Linked DNA regions of Oryza sativa Japonica Group. The protein of the gene in region 2 interacts with the protein of the main gene of each other region in a biochemical or structural test. Links are inferred from orthologs where the notes say so. Each region holds a gene or a part of one and is shown on either strand. Other genes may lie near its edges. The genes, in order: E3 ubiquitin-protein ligase AIP2 and B3 domain-containing protein VP1.

The links.
Region 1: the proteins of B3 domain-containing protein VP1 (region 2) and E3 ubiquitin-protein ligase AIP2 form a complex in vitro, tested with the Arabidopsis thaliana proteins (2 studies listed by BioGRID, with this or other methods). The link is inferred for Oryza sativa Japonica Group from reciprocal best matches to the Arabidopsis thaliana genes ABI3 and AIP2.

The regions. Positions count from the first base shown.
Region 1 is NC_089043.1:20,322,836-20,330,802, forward strand, and holds E3 ubiquitin-protein ligase AIP2, read right to left. Parts: upstream 4,615-7,967; 5' UTR 4,456-4,614; coding exon 4,309-4,455; intron 3,251-4,308; coding exon 3,037-3,250; intron 2,776-3,036; coding exon 2,531-2,775; intron 1,971-2,530; coding exon 1,764-1,970; intron 1,654-1,763; coding exon 1,504-1,653; 3' UTR 1,343-1,503; downstream 1-1,342. UniProt on the Arabidopsis thaliana protein: E3 ubiquitin-protein ligase that acts as a negative regulator of abscisic acid (ABA) signaling. Mediates ubiquitination and subsequent proteasomal degradation of the transcription factor ABI3.
Region 2 is NC_089035.1:40,356,516-40,364,466, forward strand, and holds B3 domain-containing protein VP1, read right to left. Parts: upstream 4,985-7,951; 5' UTR 4,875-4,984; coding exon 3,297-4,874; intron 3,102-3,296; coding exon 3,012-3,101; intron 2,795-3,011; coding exon of another isoform or gene 2,792-2,794; coding exon 2,694-2,791; intron 2,240-2,693; coding exon 2,193-2,239; intron 2,074-2,192; coding exon 1,997-2,073; intron 1,761-1,996; coding exon 1,464-1,760; 3' UTR 1,171-1,463; downstream 1-1,170. UniProt on the Arabidopsis thaliana protein: Participates in abscisic acid-regulated gene expression during seed development. Regulates the transcription of SGR1 and SGR2 that are involved in leaf and embryo degreening.

The DNA.
Region 1 (7,967 bases), on a different chromosome or scaffold from region 2:
ACCACCAGCCTGACAATTATTACCAGAGAGGGGGGGCGAGAACAGTAGGCGGCCGGGGATGCGCCAAGATTGGATTTTGACGGCTGCGAGAGAGAGATTTGTGAGAGATTTTTATTTTATTTTCTTTCTCTCTTTCTTTCTCTCGAGCAAGCAAAGCTGCAGCAGTGGAGATGTGGGGGGTGGGCTCGAGACTTTTCCTCGGATTTTTTTCCTTCCTCTCACATCTAACCTATTCTCCTGATGAAGCCTGAGCCGATGATGCTTGCTGCTGCTGCTGCTGCTGTGGATGTGTTGGTGCGTTGTTTTCTTGGCGCTTTTCGTTTTCTTTTCCTCATTACTTCTACTACTACTACTGCTCTGGCTCGGACGGAAGGGAAGGGAAGGGAATTTTTAGATGATTAGATTAGATTTCGCTGGAAATGGGGATTGGGGGGATTTCTTTTCTTTCTTTTGAGTATGTGGTGTGGTGCAGCGTATATTGATCGATTGGGGGATTTTTAATTTATTTGGACACGTTCGCTGCATCGGCAGGGTGTGTGCAGTTGTATGTTGTTTTTGTTTGTGTGTTTTTCTCTGGGATTTTGGGTTGGGTGCTTGACCTGCTGCTTGTCTAGTTCGTGGGGGCAGGCGCCCGTTTGATCCGTCTCGCCGTGTTGCAAATCGCAGCGATGGAGCGAGCTGTGGACTGGACTTCTCACGTGTGATGGGGTCGCTGCCTGGTGGGCCCCACTCGTCAGGGGTGGGTGGTGGGCCCACGTAAGGGCATCAGCCCATGGAATCGCAATTTTTCAAGTGACCACCAACACAACCTACTCTGCTAGGCTACTACTACCAGGTTTTACATTACTGATAAACGATGCGGTTACCATGGTTACCGGTCTTATCGCCGAGGTACGGTAATAGAAATACCGCAGTAACCTCTTTAAATTTAAATAAATTTAAAAAATAATTTAAATTTTTGATAAATTTTGAACGGTTCACGGTTACCGCGTGGTAACCCCGGTCCCGACGGTTTAGGAAACTCTGAGTGCTACTAAGCTCGTAGAACGGCTACAGTAGTAATATAGTTCGCGTTTGTTCAATCTCGACGGTACAATCTCTCTTAAAAAAAATCTTAGTCCTCTATTTCTTTAGGAAACCTTGTTAAAATAAAATTTAACTTTACAATGCTTAGTTTATTCATTTGTATCATCGAATAGTTATCATCAGCGTCATCCGTTATCTCACCACCCCCATATTCGAAGGAGACTAACGCGACTGAATACTGTGTGTAAAAAGGGAATAAAAGAATAACAATGTCTCAACTCAAGTACTTCATCACATGCACATCAACGAACAATGATGCTGTAATAAGCTGGCTGTATAGTGGTAGTATCATTCAACGAAGATACGGTGGTGAACCGAAGCAAACGTTGTTTGTACATGAATTTTCAACTCCAGTGCACTCTGAATTTCAGGAAATCGTTACAGAGAGATAATCACGTTCGGTTGAAATTCAGATGTTCAGACATACATGAACTCCCCACCCCTGACAGCATTCGCGGCGCCCTTCCTGTCTTCCTCCTCTTCTCGCTCCCGCTCCTTCCGGCTCTCGTACACATGGTCGTCCGTCCTCAGCTCGTGCCGGCAGATCGGGCAGGAGTTGTTCTCGTCCTGCGTGCAACACAACACAACCATGATGGGTATAATGTTCAGCTACACCGAGTTGTAACGATGCGTCGAGGCTACTTTCAGATGATTCAAAGGGGTTATGTGGACATTACCAGCCATGGCTTGAGGCATGGAGGGTGGAAAAGATGCTTGCACGGTAGCTCCTGCATCTTGTCGTCCACCAGCAAGCTCTCCCGGCAAACAGCACACTGAGTCTCTTTGCCCAATCTAGCTATGATTTCTTCTGTCACGGTTACAACTGGTAGATTCGCAACGACTTCCTTTGAAGCTGGAGGCACCTTAGGATTCGCCATCACATTCTGAAAATAGTAGTTCCAAATTCAAGATCCATAACAATATGCAAATCTTGTTACCCTATTGAACTGAATGACAAAATGATGAAATGCGGGCTTTCCATTTTCGAAGAATTTCAGTGGTGGTTACTAGACAATCATAAGAGATACAAGTATATCCTTCTCGTTGTAGCAAGTGACAAGCTTATATAAATTTGAGAATGTGGGTCTAAACCAAGTTGATAATTGCAATAACATAATAACATGAAGAAATTTGGCATGCATCAAAGCATGATGAGCTCCACTTTTAGCAACTTGATCAGCACTTGAATGCGCAGCAGACTAGTAATTGAAAAATCATTTTACAAACCACTGATCAAGACATTCAACAAATTTATCAAATTTGCTTGTTTCTCTATAGCACCTAACATGGGCCAAAAGCCTATGGTTGTGCACAGTTTGGATACTACTCCAGTTTGCAGTGTGCAAAAGTGCAACAAGAAACTAACATAGAAGTTCAGGGCTGAAAAAATAATGAAATAAGTATACCAAATAAATTGATTCTCTCAAGAATTGTTCTTTCTTACCTGCAGAGATTCTTCCAAAGCGGCTTCTAGGTCTCCATCCACTGTCATGGTGTTTAAGAAATTCATTATAGCAGCAGCAGGTGCCATCTCCTCAGCCCTGGACTCTCCGTTGTTGTTCGCACCTTGATCTCCAGAAGGTTCAGCTAAAATGCTAAGTTCTCGTGCTAAATTCTGGGCAACAAGCCAGGCAGGAGGTGGAGGTTCAGGTCCCACTGTAAGATGCCCTTCAAAAAGAAATCTTGTATCTGGAAAAAAAAGTTTACATCTTCTTAGCAAATAGATATTTATAAGGGTGAATATTTTAAGGAAAGTTTATTTCACCAAAATACACTGCAGACAAATATGTACTTGAAGAACTCCTATGTTTATCAATTTCACCAAGAAATAAATTTAATTGCATATGCATCACAGGTTGCCTCCAGAATAATCATTAGAGTATAGCCAATCTAAGTATGCAGATGTGTCTATGAATGTCACATCATCCTATTCAATTATTAATGACATACCTGTTTCCCTGTTGTTTGGCATGGATTCCTCGTTCTCTTTCTCATCAAGATGCTCCCGGGCCCTCAGAATGAAAGTCTTCAGTTGCTCCTTTTCTGAAGGATTAGTTACCAGCTTCTCTGTACCTAAGAAGAGGTTCAGACCAGCACGCCAGAATCCAGGTGCTGTATATCTAGTCTGAAGGACAGTTGCCACACGGCAAACTGTAGAATACATCTGCCAAAGAACAAAAGATTGTGCTAAATGAGCATTATATATGTCGATATGATGGATGATATTAATGAAGGTAGAGTATGGAAAAGAATGCTAATCCAAACAACTGATTGTAGGGGTGTGGTATACTGGTACACAAAAATGGAATCCCTGAGGACGACCTTAACTAAAAAAGCATCAGCATCAGAAGTTAACCTTAACTTAAAAAAATCAGAAGTTTTTACATTAACAGGATTACTTCATCAGAAGATAATGAAACAAAAGGATTAGTATTATCCAAGGAAATCACTTTTGTTAGCATAGTTCTGTCCATGTATGTCATTCCTCATTTGCTCGATTGAGTGTGCATAAAGCCACAGGAAACACCTGAGCCAGATTACTCTGTCACTCATCGCTACTTCTGTCTACAAATAATTCCAATCGTTCATGGTGATCGTTATTTCGGTTTCTTGATTCCCGTGAATTGGGCGATGTTAACGTTAACGTCACATCTTACCAAGCCGATTCATTGGATTATAATAAACTACTACTCCGGCAGATTCTTTTTATTGCTTGCTTTGAATTTAACCATGCTCCATGCTAGCTTGAAGAATATGTAAATTTTGATGGGTACGTACTGATTTCACTGCATTTTGATTGGTATTTACTTGTAACGTTTAGCCTCTTGTTATAAATTTAGATATCAAGCTACTTGGAGAAAAGAAAAGGAACAATTTCGTTGGGATGAGATGAGTTATTCTAAGGACGTGTTCCTTACTGACACGACAGGACTAACAATCCCAGAGAAGATCATTTTCATAGGATTAACAATCCCAGAGAAGATCATTTTAATAGGATTAACAATCCCAGAGAAGATCATTTTAATTTCTTCTGCCCATTGATGATGACTTTAGAGTAAGAATTCTACTCCATTACCGGACCAATCGAACCTAGATTCATCATTACCACAGCGGCGGCGACGTTGGACCTAACCCAGGCCGCAACGAAAGGAAATCGGGAAGTAACGTGAGGTGAGAGAGGGGGGGGGGGGGCGCTGGCTAGGGGAGGTCGGCCTCATTTACCAGATCGCGGAGGGCGGGGGAGGCGGCGGCGTGGTGGTCCCGGACCGCGGCGGCGAGGTCGGCGACGGCCTCCTCGAAGTGCTGCTTCCTCCCCAGCTTCTGCCGCAGCGCCTGCAGCCGCTGCTCCACCGCCGCGGGGGCCGACATGGTGGTGGTGCCCCGCCTCGAACAAGCTCGCCCACGGGTCTCTCCGTTTTACCGGTCGCCGGTGGTGCGGGAGGAGGAAGGAAGGATGCGTGCGTCGCCGCCGCCGCGGCGCTCGCCGGAGGTATAAATGGAGGTGAAGGCGAGGGCGGTGGCGTCCGCGTCCGGCTTGGCTTGGAGGAGGGGAAAGAAATCCCCAACCCCCGTGGCGGTGGCGGCGTGTCGACGGACACGGAGACGGAGGGGAGGACTTTGCCGTTTACTGCAGACGGCGCCGTGACGGGTGGGGAATCGGGGAAACTGTGTGGGCCTTCAGCACTGGCCTACTGGGCCGTCCATCGACGGCCCTCGCGACCCCGAAACACAGCAGAGAGGCCCAGTGTAACTGACGGACCAACATTACGGCCACGTGCGGGAATAAGTCGGGCCCCTCAATTATGGGTAAAATTCAATTCGTATGTCACTCAACCGCGATACCGGATATTTTGAAAACCCCTCCAACTATTTTAAAACGGTGCAATTTTACTCCTAGGACAGTATTGAGAGCGTTGGCATTCACGTCTCATACTAGTCATCAGAAAAAAAAATTAAAAAATAAAGTGGGGACCCACTTGTCATACTCCCCCTCTCTCTTCCTCTCCTTCTCTATTCCACACACTTTCTCCACTTTTATCACTGTGTCAACAGAGCTGACGAGGGTGGAGGCCCGGGCATGGATCCGAGGAGATGGTTCTCCCTAGACGGTGGGAGGGGAGGGGACCCCACGACGAAAACGGCGAGCGGTCGTTGGGATGGAGAACGGCGCGGAGCTTGAGGGATGGAGATGTAGCCTGATGACGGTGCGCTCGGCTGGTCAAGAGAGATGGCGTGGATCCGAGGATGAGACAACGCTCCCTGGGCAGTGGCGGGGTCCCCATGGCGAAGACGGTGGCTAGTCGTCAGGACGGAGAATAGCGCGGAGCTCAGGAGATGAAGATACAGCCGACGGCAGTGCGCTAGTCCAGTTATGACTTATGAGAGGCGACGTGATGGAGCAGGTCGGCGCAAAAGTCAATGTAGATCAACAGCCAAGGAAGAGCTCGGCGGGCTTGATGACCCCGATTTGGCAATGTCTGTCGTCGACTCCTCCACAGGCACCTGGATCTAGGCCATCCTTCGCAAGTGGCAGATGGGGGAGTGGCGGTAGTGGCGCTGGCGGTGCAGTGGAGGTAGTGGCGCTGGTAGTGCAGGAGAGTTAGATAGGAGGGGCCGAAGGGAGATAAGGAGGAGAGAGATAAAAGGGAAGAGTGAGAATGACATAAGCCGCTCTCCAAAATCGATAAGTAAGTTAAATTATACATGTTTTAATAGTTAAAAGATTAAGATGTTCGGTATTGTGCTTCAAGGATATAAATTAGATTATATGTTTAGGAGAGTCAAATCGAGATATTCCCCCACAGGCGTCGGCACTCGGCACAACCTTTTCCCGTCCCCTCCCCGTAGCCGCGTGTGCTGGGCGCGTGGCGCCGCAATTTGGTGCGTGACCGCGGGTGTGGCGGCGGGCGACCGAGACCAGGGGCTATCGCCGTTGCCGCCTCCCCGCGCGCGCGCTGCGGCGGCACGGCAAAACCGAAGTCGGCAAAACAGCCCACGAACTACTCGTACTACTACCACCCTAGCCCCTGCCCAGGCTCGGCCGCCGCAATATCGCCGCGGTTCTTCTGTCCGCGGCACAACACAAAACCACCGTCCCAGTATCATCCCACCGCGCGTCGCGTCGCCGCAACGAAAGGAAGTCGCCCGCACCGCTGCTAGGGGACAGGACACACGCGTGTAATAACGGGAGCCGCAGAGATCGCCTCAACCTCCTCTCTCTCTCCTGTACACTGTAGGCCTGTACATGCCACAGTGCCACTCGCTCTGCTGCGGATGAGCTTTGATTCGCTCAACCGCGCGTCCGTCCGTCCTCACGGGCTGTATGATTTGTGATGAGGTCCCGTCTCACCGATCTCGTCGCTTTCTCTTTATCTGTTCATCTTCGTAAAATTGAAGTTACGATTGGGGCGAGAAAAAGATGGGCCTATGTACTTTGACACCTACTTCTCGTATGACCATGTCCATGTAAAATCTGAAGACCGTTAAAATGCATAATTTTTGACAATTTGACCCTTTGCAAAAACTATTTTTACAAATGAACCGCTGCCAAAACTTATTTTAAATCTGACCCTTTTGCTCAACGCCAAATCGTGTGACGCTGAACTTAAACACCTCAGCACCAAATAGCATGACGCTGAATGTACGTTTACACGCTGATTTAGTCTCCCATCCGTCGTGGCACGGCATTCAGCACTAGCTGACGTGGCTCTGAGGTGTCTAAATTCAGCGCCACATGATTTGGCGTTGAGCAAAAGGGTCATATTTGAAATAAGTTTTGGCAGCAGTTCATTTGTAAAAATAGTTTTTGCAAAGTGTCAAATTGTCAAAATTTGTGGTTAAAATGAATGAGGTGGGACGATTTTCTCGGATGACCGGGTCTTATGTTAGCGGCAAAAGTAGGAAGAGGTTTGTTCGGTTCAGCGATTCATCGTCTCCCTAGTCCCTACCATTCTTTGAACTACCAGTCTTGTGAAAATAGTACTACTGTACTATGAACCACTCCTACCTTACATTATGGTGAGTATTATTTTTCCATAATTTCAAGCGTCATTTAGGCCCATCTACAAGGACGAGTGAAGTATGGGACAGTACAGGCTCCCGAATTTCAGAGTCCCCCATTTAAATTATCAACTGCGTATATGAATAGACGTATGCCAACAAGACCAAGTAGCGAATGGAATAAGGGTATGTTTTTCCTTGCCGTCGGGATGGAGTTACCTCGTCCCGACAATAAGTATGTTATCGTCGGTAACCGCAGCAAACTGTAAGAAATCATATCAAATTAAAAATTTAAATTATATTTGAAATTTATCTGAATTTGGTGTGGCTATTGTGGTTTTATCTTTACTTATACTCGATGGTAAGCACGATTACCATTGGTTTTGTAAACCATTTGTGAACTTTGTTACTCCGATTGATTTCCTAGGATCAAGAGCATTGATTTGTTTTCTCGATTGATTATTGACTACTCCCTCCGTCTCTAAATATAAGGGGCTTTGGTTGGATGTGACATATCCTAATATAATGAATCTGAATATGGGGCTTGTTTGGCAGGCCGACTGCGACGGCTACGGCTGTGGCTGCGGCTGCGCATAGTGAGTGCGGCACTGTTCGTGCCGGGGCTGCCGGCAGCCGAACATGCCCATGAAGCCTAATCAGATTTATTGTACTAGAATATGTCACGTCAAACCAAAATTTCTTATATTTAGGGACGAAGGGAGTACATTGTAGCTGGATCATCCTTGGCGGTTGACGCGCTCTGTGCTCGGCTACTTGCCGACGTGCTGCCGTGCCTTAATCTCTATCTGGCTAGTTGTGCAACACGCCTGCAGAGAGCACGGCGCACCGTAACACCCCAAAACTCCAACAGCAAACGTAGT
Region 2 (7,951 bases):
CGATGGGGTGATCGATCAAGCGCACACAGTTCCAATCATGCATGTGACTAATGTCTACGCGACGAGGCTCTGCAGTGCGCGCGGGCAGAAGCTAAGGTTAAACCCTGTTTGGTAGAGCTACAACTCCTAAATTTTGCTTCAGGAGTTGAGTCTGGAGTGAAGTTATAGAGCTATCTAAACCCAACTCCACATCTCTAATTTATTTTGTGAGAGAACTCCACCCAGCTCCGATCACATTTTAAGTGGAGCTTAAACTGTTTGGCTGAGCTCTAACTCCAGGAGAGATGGAGCTAGAGCTGTGCCAAACAAACCCTTAATATTATGAGAAGTTAGTATAGTTAAGAATTTGGAGAAGCTGACAAACCAAGCTTCCAGTTTTTGTGTCAATTTCTAGATTCTACTGCTGTAGTTTTTTAGAATCCGGATAAAAATTTAAAATCTGAACTGTTTAAAAAAAATTTCAGTAGCTAGAGATTCTACGAGAAATTACGGCTGACAGAAGCTCCCAATCAAACCCGAGATAAGATGAGAAGATGCGGGGTTACGTGGCGTTGTGAGAGAGAGAGAGAGCCTCGAAGCGGGGCCAACTAGTTTATCATAAAACCGAGCGTGCCATATCGCCTTGTTTCCACAAGCCCTTAGCACATGGCGCGCTCTCGTCGCTCCAGCCTGGCAGAGTGAGGCGAAGACAAGAGATCAGAATTCAGAAGCAGCTAGCTCTCCACCAAACAGGCTACTCTTTTACTTTAGCTTGGTTAATTTCGTCCAGATCAAGAATCTTGCTAGGTGGAGAGATGCACCACCAGGAATCAATTAACCTGTGCAAGGGGTTAGTCAAACTCAAACAGCTTGGGCGGGTCATGATGAGATCATGCATCCTTGGTCCATGGAAATTTGGCCATGCATGCATGTGCAGGCTTGTAATATTCTAGACACATGCATGCAGGGATGGTCAATGTTTTTGATAGCATATGCAGCCGAAATGCCGAAATTAATACTATATACTCTAGCTAGCCGAGATGGGTTTTTTTATGTGCTAGTATTAGTAGATCCACACAAAATATGCATGTAAATCCTAACCAGATGCTCGGCTAACCACGCAGAAAGAAAAAAAAAAAAGGTAGTAACTATATTAAAAACATGATCCTATGTCTGCTTGTTAGCCGCAATGGACACGACGATTAAGGTAATTAATTAATTCCATAATTCGATGCATGTACAGGACGACGACACACTACAGGGGTTCAACGATGAACAACCAAACCATGCGTACTTAAGCGTCACTGGTACGGGGACTACGGGTTACTGATCAAATATCATCCCTAGCTAGCGCTACGATTCACATGCACAACTTAATTAATTTTTTTAGGAGGTTTTACCATCGGTTATAATACGGAGCTAGCTAGCTAATAATTAACCTTCAAATGGACTGAAGCTTGCTGCTGCTGCTGTCATCTGTTTCTTCAGATGCTAACCGCCATCTGGCTCATGGAGGCGGCGGCGGCGGCCTCCTGGCGAGAACGCCGCACGCCGTGCGGGGACTTGCCCTTGCAGCCGCCGCCGTCAGCCTTGCCTGCCGCCGCCGCCGCTGCGGCTTCGGCACTGTCATCGCCGCCGGTGCCGTCCTCGGCGCCGGCGGCCTTTGTATTGGACGAGACGCCGGGTTTCTCCGGCGAGCCATGCTTATGCTTACCTACCGCCCCCGACGAGTTGCCTTGCTCCTGCGCCGCGCGCCTCACCTTCACACCACGTATCAGCTGCTAATAATTAAGAGATAAATTAAGATTACGGTTAATAATTAATTAGCTGCTGCTTGCAGAAATTAACAGAAGTACTCCATAAACAAAGATACTGCCAAACTGGTCATCCGAATTAAAGACAAACAGTGGCATGCAGCAACTATATATAGCTTATTGGCACTCAAAATCACATCCAACTGAGTTGAGTTAAAGAGTACTCGAAAGAAGTGGGAAGGGCAATGATGGATGAACATTACATATTTGCCTGACTTGATATCGGAGTAGATCACAATGAAATCACCCTCCTGCAGCTCGTTTGAACGAACAAAATCACCTGAAAAAACATATGACAACGATTAATCAACAATACTTGAGAGCCACAAATTAAGGATGGAAGTTATTGGCATGGCTTGTGACTGTAAAATTTGAATAATTCAAAAGTTTGCTATTCACCTGTGTTTTCGAGAAGATACATCCTGCTTTTGTTGTTGGGCCAAAACCTGTGTTCATGAAAATCAATATCCATTAATGTCAGTGAATCAAAATCTAAGCCATCATGTATTCGAATAACTTGTGCATATATAATATTGCCAATGGAAATAATTAAATTAATTAATCAAAAACATGAGCTCAGCAGAACCAGCAAAAATCATATGCATAATGTTAGTACTGAAAACAGCAGGAAAAGATCACTTTTATTTTTTTGTTGTATGCACTTGAGCATCAACATAGAACACGATGAATGCATGCTCCTATTTGACTCCCAGATTCCAATGATATGTTCGTATGACCCACTTGCCCAATTGGGAAAGGGACCATCCCATAGTCATTTACTATTTCTGGTTCAGAGGTTTCTATCCCCTCCCAATTAACAAAGAAGCAAGTGGACTTAAACAAGCTTAATAAGCAATCCCAAATCATGCTTGATGCTTCGATCGAATGTTGATTACTCACCGGTACCGCATGTTCCACACCTGAGACGTCCCGATGTCTTCCATGGGGATGGAGACACCATCCCTCGTCTTCAGCTCCGGCAGGTGAACCTCTGCTTCCTTCTGAAACCATCCACAGATCAAGAAAGGGGAGACTTTTTAGTTCTACCATGATCGGAAATGTGAAGAGAAGGTTCAGGCAAATTCCGTCTTTGATTAGGGGAGAAACATCAAGTATGTGAGTGTGTGCAAGTGGGATCCTTCCATGGAATGGATTTGTGCCAAGTGGGGTAGTGGATTTGGAAGGAGAAGGTGTTCGAGATGGTGGTGACTGTCTCACTTTGGGGAGCACGATGCGGCCGAGGCTCCCGACGTCGCTCTGCTTCAGCACCTTCTGCAGCAGGAACCGCAGGTTCTTGTCCGTCTTCGCCTGCAGCAATCCAATCGATGCCGTTTAATTAGCTAGGTTGATAAATATTGGAGATTCTATCCCTGGACAGCGATGTGAGTGAGTGAGTTTTGAGTGTGTGGAGTGTGTGTGAGGAGGAGAATCGAGTTCTCACTCGCGTGAGATCCTAGCTATGGTGGATAGCGATTGATGTCAATCGTCTGCATGCATGCACACCTGCCGCTTCTCTGAAGCCGTCGAGCGCTGAAGGCTCTCCGCTCCGGCCGTCGCCGCCGCCTGCGGCTTCGGCTTCGGTTTCTCCGGCGAGGGTTTCGGCTGCTTCGACGTGGCGGGAGGAGGATTGGGCTTGTTTGATAGGGGATTCTGGATGATCTGGGCCGCCGGCGGCCAGATGCCCCAGCTCCGGCAGCCGGCCGACGACGGGGTGACCGGCGCCGAGTGCGCGGCGCGAGGGGAGGGCTCCTGTGGATGGCCGGAGATGTGGATCTGGCTCAGGTTGAGCTGCTGGCTACGTTGCTGCTGCAGGCAGGAGAGGCGGCGCTGCCTCGCCATCCGCTTCTTCCGGGCCTCCTTTGTCGAGGACGGCTCGACTCCGGCGAGGCGTGGAGAGCACATGGCGTGGCCGCCGGAGTACTGCCCGGGGAATCCGGCGGTGAACGGCGGTGGCACGACCGACGGCATGGTGTAGGAGCTCGTGGAGGAGACGGGGAACGGCGCGAATTGCTGCGGCCAGGCCATGTTCCCTCCGCCCGACGCATGCATGTCGCCCGCCGCCGCCGCGGTCGGCGGGGAGAACGGCTGGCTGCTCACGACCACGCTGCTCTTGCTGCAGCTCTGCTGGAAAGGGAACGGGCCGGCGGCGCCTGGGTACATGGCGTCGCCGCCGTACGCGGCTGGCGGCGTGAAGGCCTGGTAGGGCATCCAGGATGTGGCGGCGGCGGAGCCCATCTCCTGGCCACCGGAGGGGAACTCGTAGCCGGGGTTTGCGCCGGGGCTGGGGAGCTGAGGGTCCGACGACGCGGCGCCGTCGTCAATCGCCGTGCGGGGGCGCTTCTTCTGGAGGTGGTGGTTCTGCACCCAGGTGAGGATGAGCTTGAGCAGCTGCATGGTGCCCTGGCGCCCGCCGCCGAGCCGCGCGGCCGCCGCCTCGATGGTGGATCGGCGGAGGCGGATGCTGCGGAGGTCGTCGGCGGAGATGTACTCACGGTTGCTCGTGAGCCACTCCATGAAGAACGCCGGCAGATCGTCGGGCGCATCACTCCCCTCCATGCATGCGTCGCCGGCGTCGTCTCCTCCCCCGGCCGCCTCCATCACCGCCTTCGTATCGCCGTCGCCGGTACAGTCGTCCGCCTGATGCGGTTGCCCGGACATGGCGTCCTCTATCATCATGCCAACGTCGTCCGGGAACAGCGGCTGCTCGGCCTCCCACGGGACGGACAGCGACGCGAGGTCGAGGAGCTGGTCTATGTCGGCGAGCTCACCAAACCCGTCCGCCGCCGAGGCCGGCTCGGACGGCTCACCGCCGCAACCCCCTCCCGCCGCGGTGGTGAAAGCGCTGGACGAGTTCGACGACGACGACGACGAGAAGGTTGAGCTTGACGGGGAAGAAAGGCACGGGAAGTCCGGGAGCAACGGGAAGGTATCGTCAGCGAAAAAGACGTCATCCCTCGCCGCCTCACCCCTGATCTCCGCCGCCGGGGCCTTCCCCCGTCCGCCGCCGCCGCCGCCGCCGCCACCCTGCTTCCCCGGGTTCCCGTGCGAGTGCGGCGCCGACGAGCCGGCGGAGGCGTCCATGCAGAGTGGAGGCGGGCGGGGGGCGGAGAGCGCGAGATGTAGGCGAGGCGGGGGGTTTGGCTTTGTTTGTCTGTGTGCGTGTAGGTGTGGAGGTGGGTGCAGTTACTGAGAAAGGAGACGAACAGGAGAAGCAGCGGGAGGTGGAGGGTGGGAGAGTAGAGAGAGAAGAGATGCGGCTGCGGCCCACACGTGGCGGCCGCCGAGGGCTGTGGGAAGCGCTCCACCGCCCACGCCAGCCTCTCCTCAGCGACCGTACCTTTCGCCCCCCGCACGGCACGGCCACGTCCCACTGACCCGTGGGCCCCACATTTCCTCTGGGCCCACTTATCATTGCTGGGGGCTGCGTTTCTGGTGGGTGGGGTTCCCCTTTTTTTTCCTGAGTTGTAACGGTCAATGACAGTGGGGCCTACGTGTCAGTGGGAAGTACGGGATTTCGGCGCGTGCTGGTTTTGACCGCCGCGGCAGAGGGGGAGGGAGAGGAGCGTTCTTGCCTGTGGTCCAATGACATGTGGGACCCAAAAGGAAAACCATAGAGTGGTAGGGTCGTGTGCGCGTAGCGATTTATGCGCGCCGTAGGATGTCCGTGTCGCGTCCGCGCCGACTAAGGGGCTACGCGTCCGGTGTTTCCGAGCCGTCCGATCCGAACCACCGCGTGATCGAACGGACGCCATCTTCGGGAGGAGACCTGTGTGCTGTCTGGATTAGGAATATGGGGTGCGTTTTTTCTACGCGCACGTACGAAACCTACACGAGCTGGAGATGATGACGTGGAGGTGTGGGTCGCACCTTGGTTACGATGACGTGGGATTTTACCATTGGTTGCAGTGGAGGTGGCCCGTGTGAACACATGCAGCGAACGGCCCAGCTCGATCGATCACCAGCAGCCGGGAAGCGTAAGCGCTAAGCAGAGGCATGGCAATGCCATGGCATACGTGATCTTGTTCTGGCCGTTGCGTGTGGAACTGTGGGTGGAGCATTTGCTTTGTCTTGTTCGATCGGAGGATGCGGCTAGGTAGGATACATGTTTTGCAGGGGTAAGAGCAAATTTCCACTTTCTCTTTGCTTGTTTGCTTCGCAACAAATGCATTTGAAAATGACAGACAGGCCCCCAAAATCAGATTAAAAAATATGTTTTCTTTGGTGTCCTTAGTGATGAGGAGCACCCAAATAACCCATGCGACATCATCCAAGGATTTTATTTTTTTTTTGCAAGTTTGTACTTTAAAATGAGCCAATAAATCTATAATACACATTTACGACTACGTGTCCTTTTCAATATCCGTGGAATCAATTGATATATTGATTCATGGATGCAAACAAAAACAATTGTAAATTTTGGGTCATTGAACGATATATATCTCTCTAAAATATTATTTATATCAAGATGACGATATGCATGTATCTTTCATTATTAATTGTTCGCTCAAGCATATCGTATCCTTTCGAGGGAATGAAGCATCGAAGCTCTTGACTCACATCCAATACATTGTCTAATTCAATAATTGGATTTGAACATCAAATATATTCCATGCGTTGTGCAATTTACAAATCATTTTTAATTAGTATTTTACTATTCTCAATCTATATTATCGATAATATGTATTTTACTATTCGATAGCAACTGTAAATAAAGGTCGTTGGGTGTTACAGGTCAACAATCATTTGAGCGATATGGTAGGTTGAGTGTTTCCCCTATGTTGTTTTGGCATAACTTTCATATTACTATGACAACAAGGTTATTTTGAAGAGTTAATACCGCCACGTCCATTGTGCATATTTATAAAAAGTAACTATCAAAACACAACTAAACCCGTAGCAAACCACATGCATATATATTGAATAAGTGATTTTGTAAAAAAATATTTATAGATTTTGATATATGAGGGATACTTGTAAACTTATGTATATAACTCAGCCATGTCATCATCTCAAATAATTTTAGACAATCGGATTAATATATATCACATCATTTATACACTGACCATTCGATTGGAAAATACCGGTTTGCAACATTGGAATACTACTATACTTTAGTCATGATTGATACAAATTTCGATTTAAAAGTGTAGTTGCATGAATTTTGATTCATGATAATCTATACTGCAATTATCATTTGCATTGTGATATATTCATGATTGATGACTTCGATGCTCGGCCACAGGGTTTGTAGCGCGCAATCTATTTGAGCGTAGCCATGTAGCATTGTACCATGAACATATCAATATGTGGTGACTTCATGCATTAAAAGAAGATGGACACGTTGTAACCACAATACAACTTTCTTATCTCCCAACAACTTATATTACGTGCGGACGTATATAAATACAAGAGGCTGCAACAACATTTTGGCTCTTTGTGATTCATTGATCCGAGGTAAGGTCATAACCTTACAATGGTTCACCACCATGTATTTTTCGAAGTACACCCATGACTACATCTATACACGTACGCACGGTGTTTCGATAAAACAATTTTGCTATGAGTATATAGGCTTATGGTTCACTGAAAGACACACACTAATAAAAAGACACAAGATTTGGCTCGTGTTTTGGATTCACGAATAAATCTGGAAAATATTTTCAATGACATATAAAATTTTCTACTATCCCCATAAAAAAATGTACTAACTTTCTTTGATCATGGAAATTAAACCCTACAACAAGATTAACGCATATACTCCATCTATCTCGATATATATATATATACATATATATACATATATATATATATGCGATGTTGTTAAATCTTAGATATATATTTGATTTTATTATGTATATAACAAATTAAAGTTATTCATAATATATCGTAATAAAAGTTTGTAATAAAATAAAATAATAATTATATAATTTTAGTAAGATAATTGAAAATAGCGTAACTGTATCATTCGTGTTAGAATAAACAGAGGAGGTACTCCTAATTCCTTTCACTGGAGACCAAACTACATCATCGACTCATGGCGTCGTACCACAGAAGCACTAGCTGCTGGCAAAGCCGTAGATCAGTGGGACGTGGCGGAAGCCAAGCCGTCGGATCATCCCAGCGAGGAAACCACCCGCGACCGCGACGACGCAACAGCA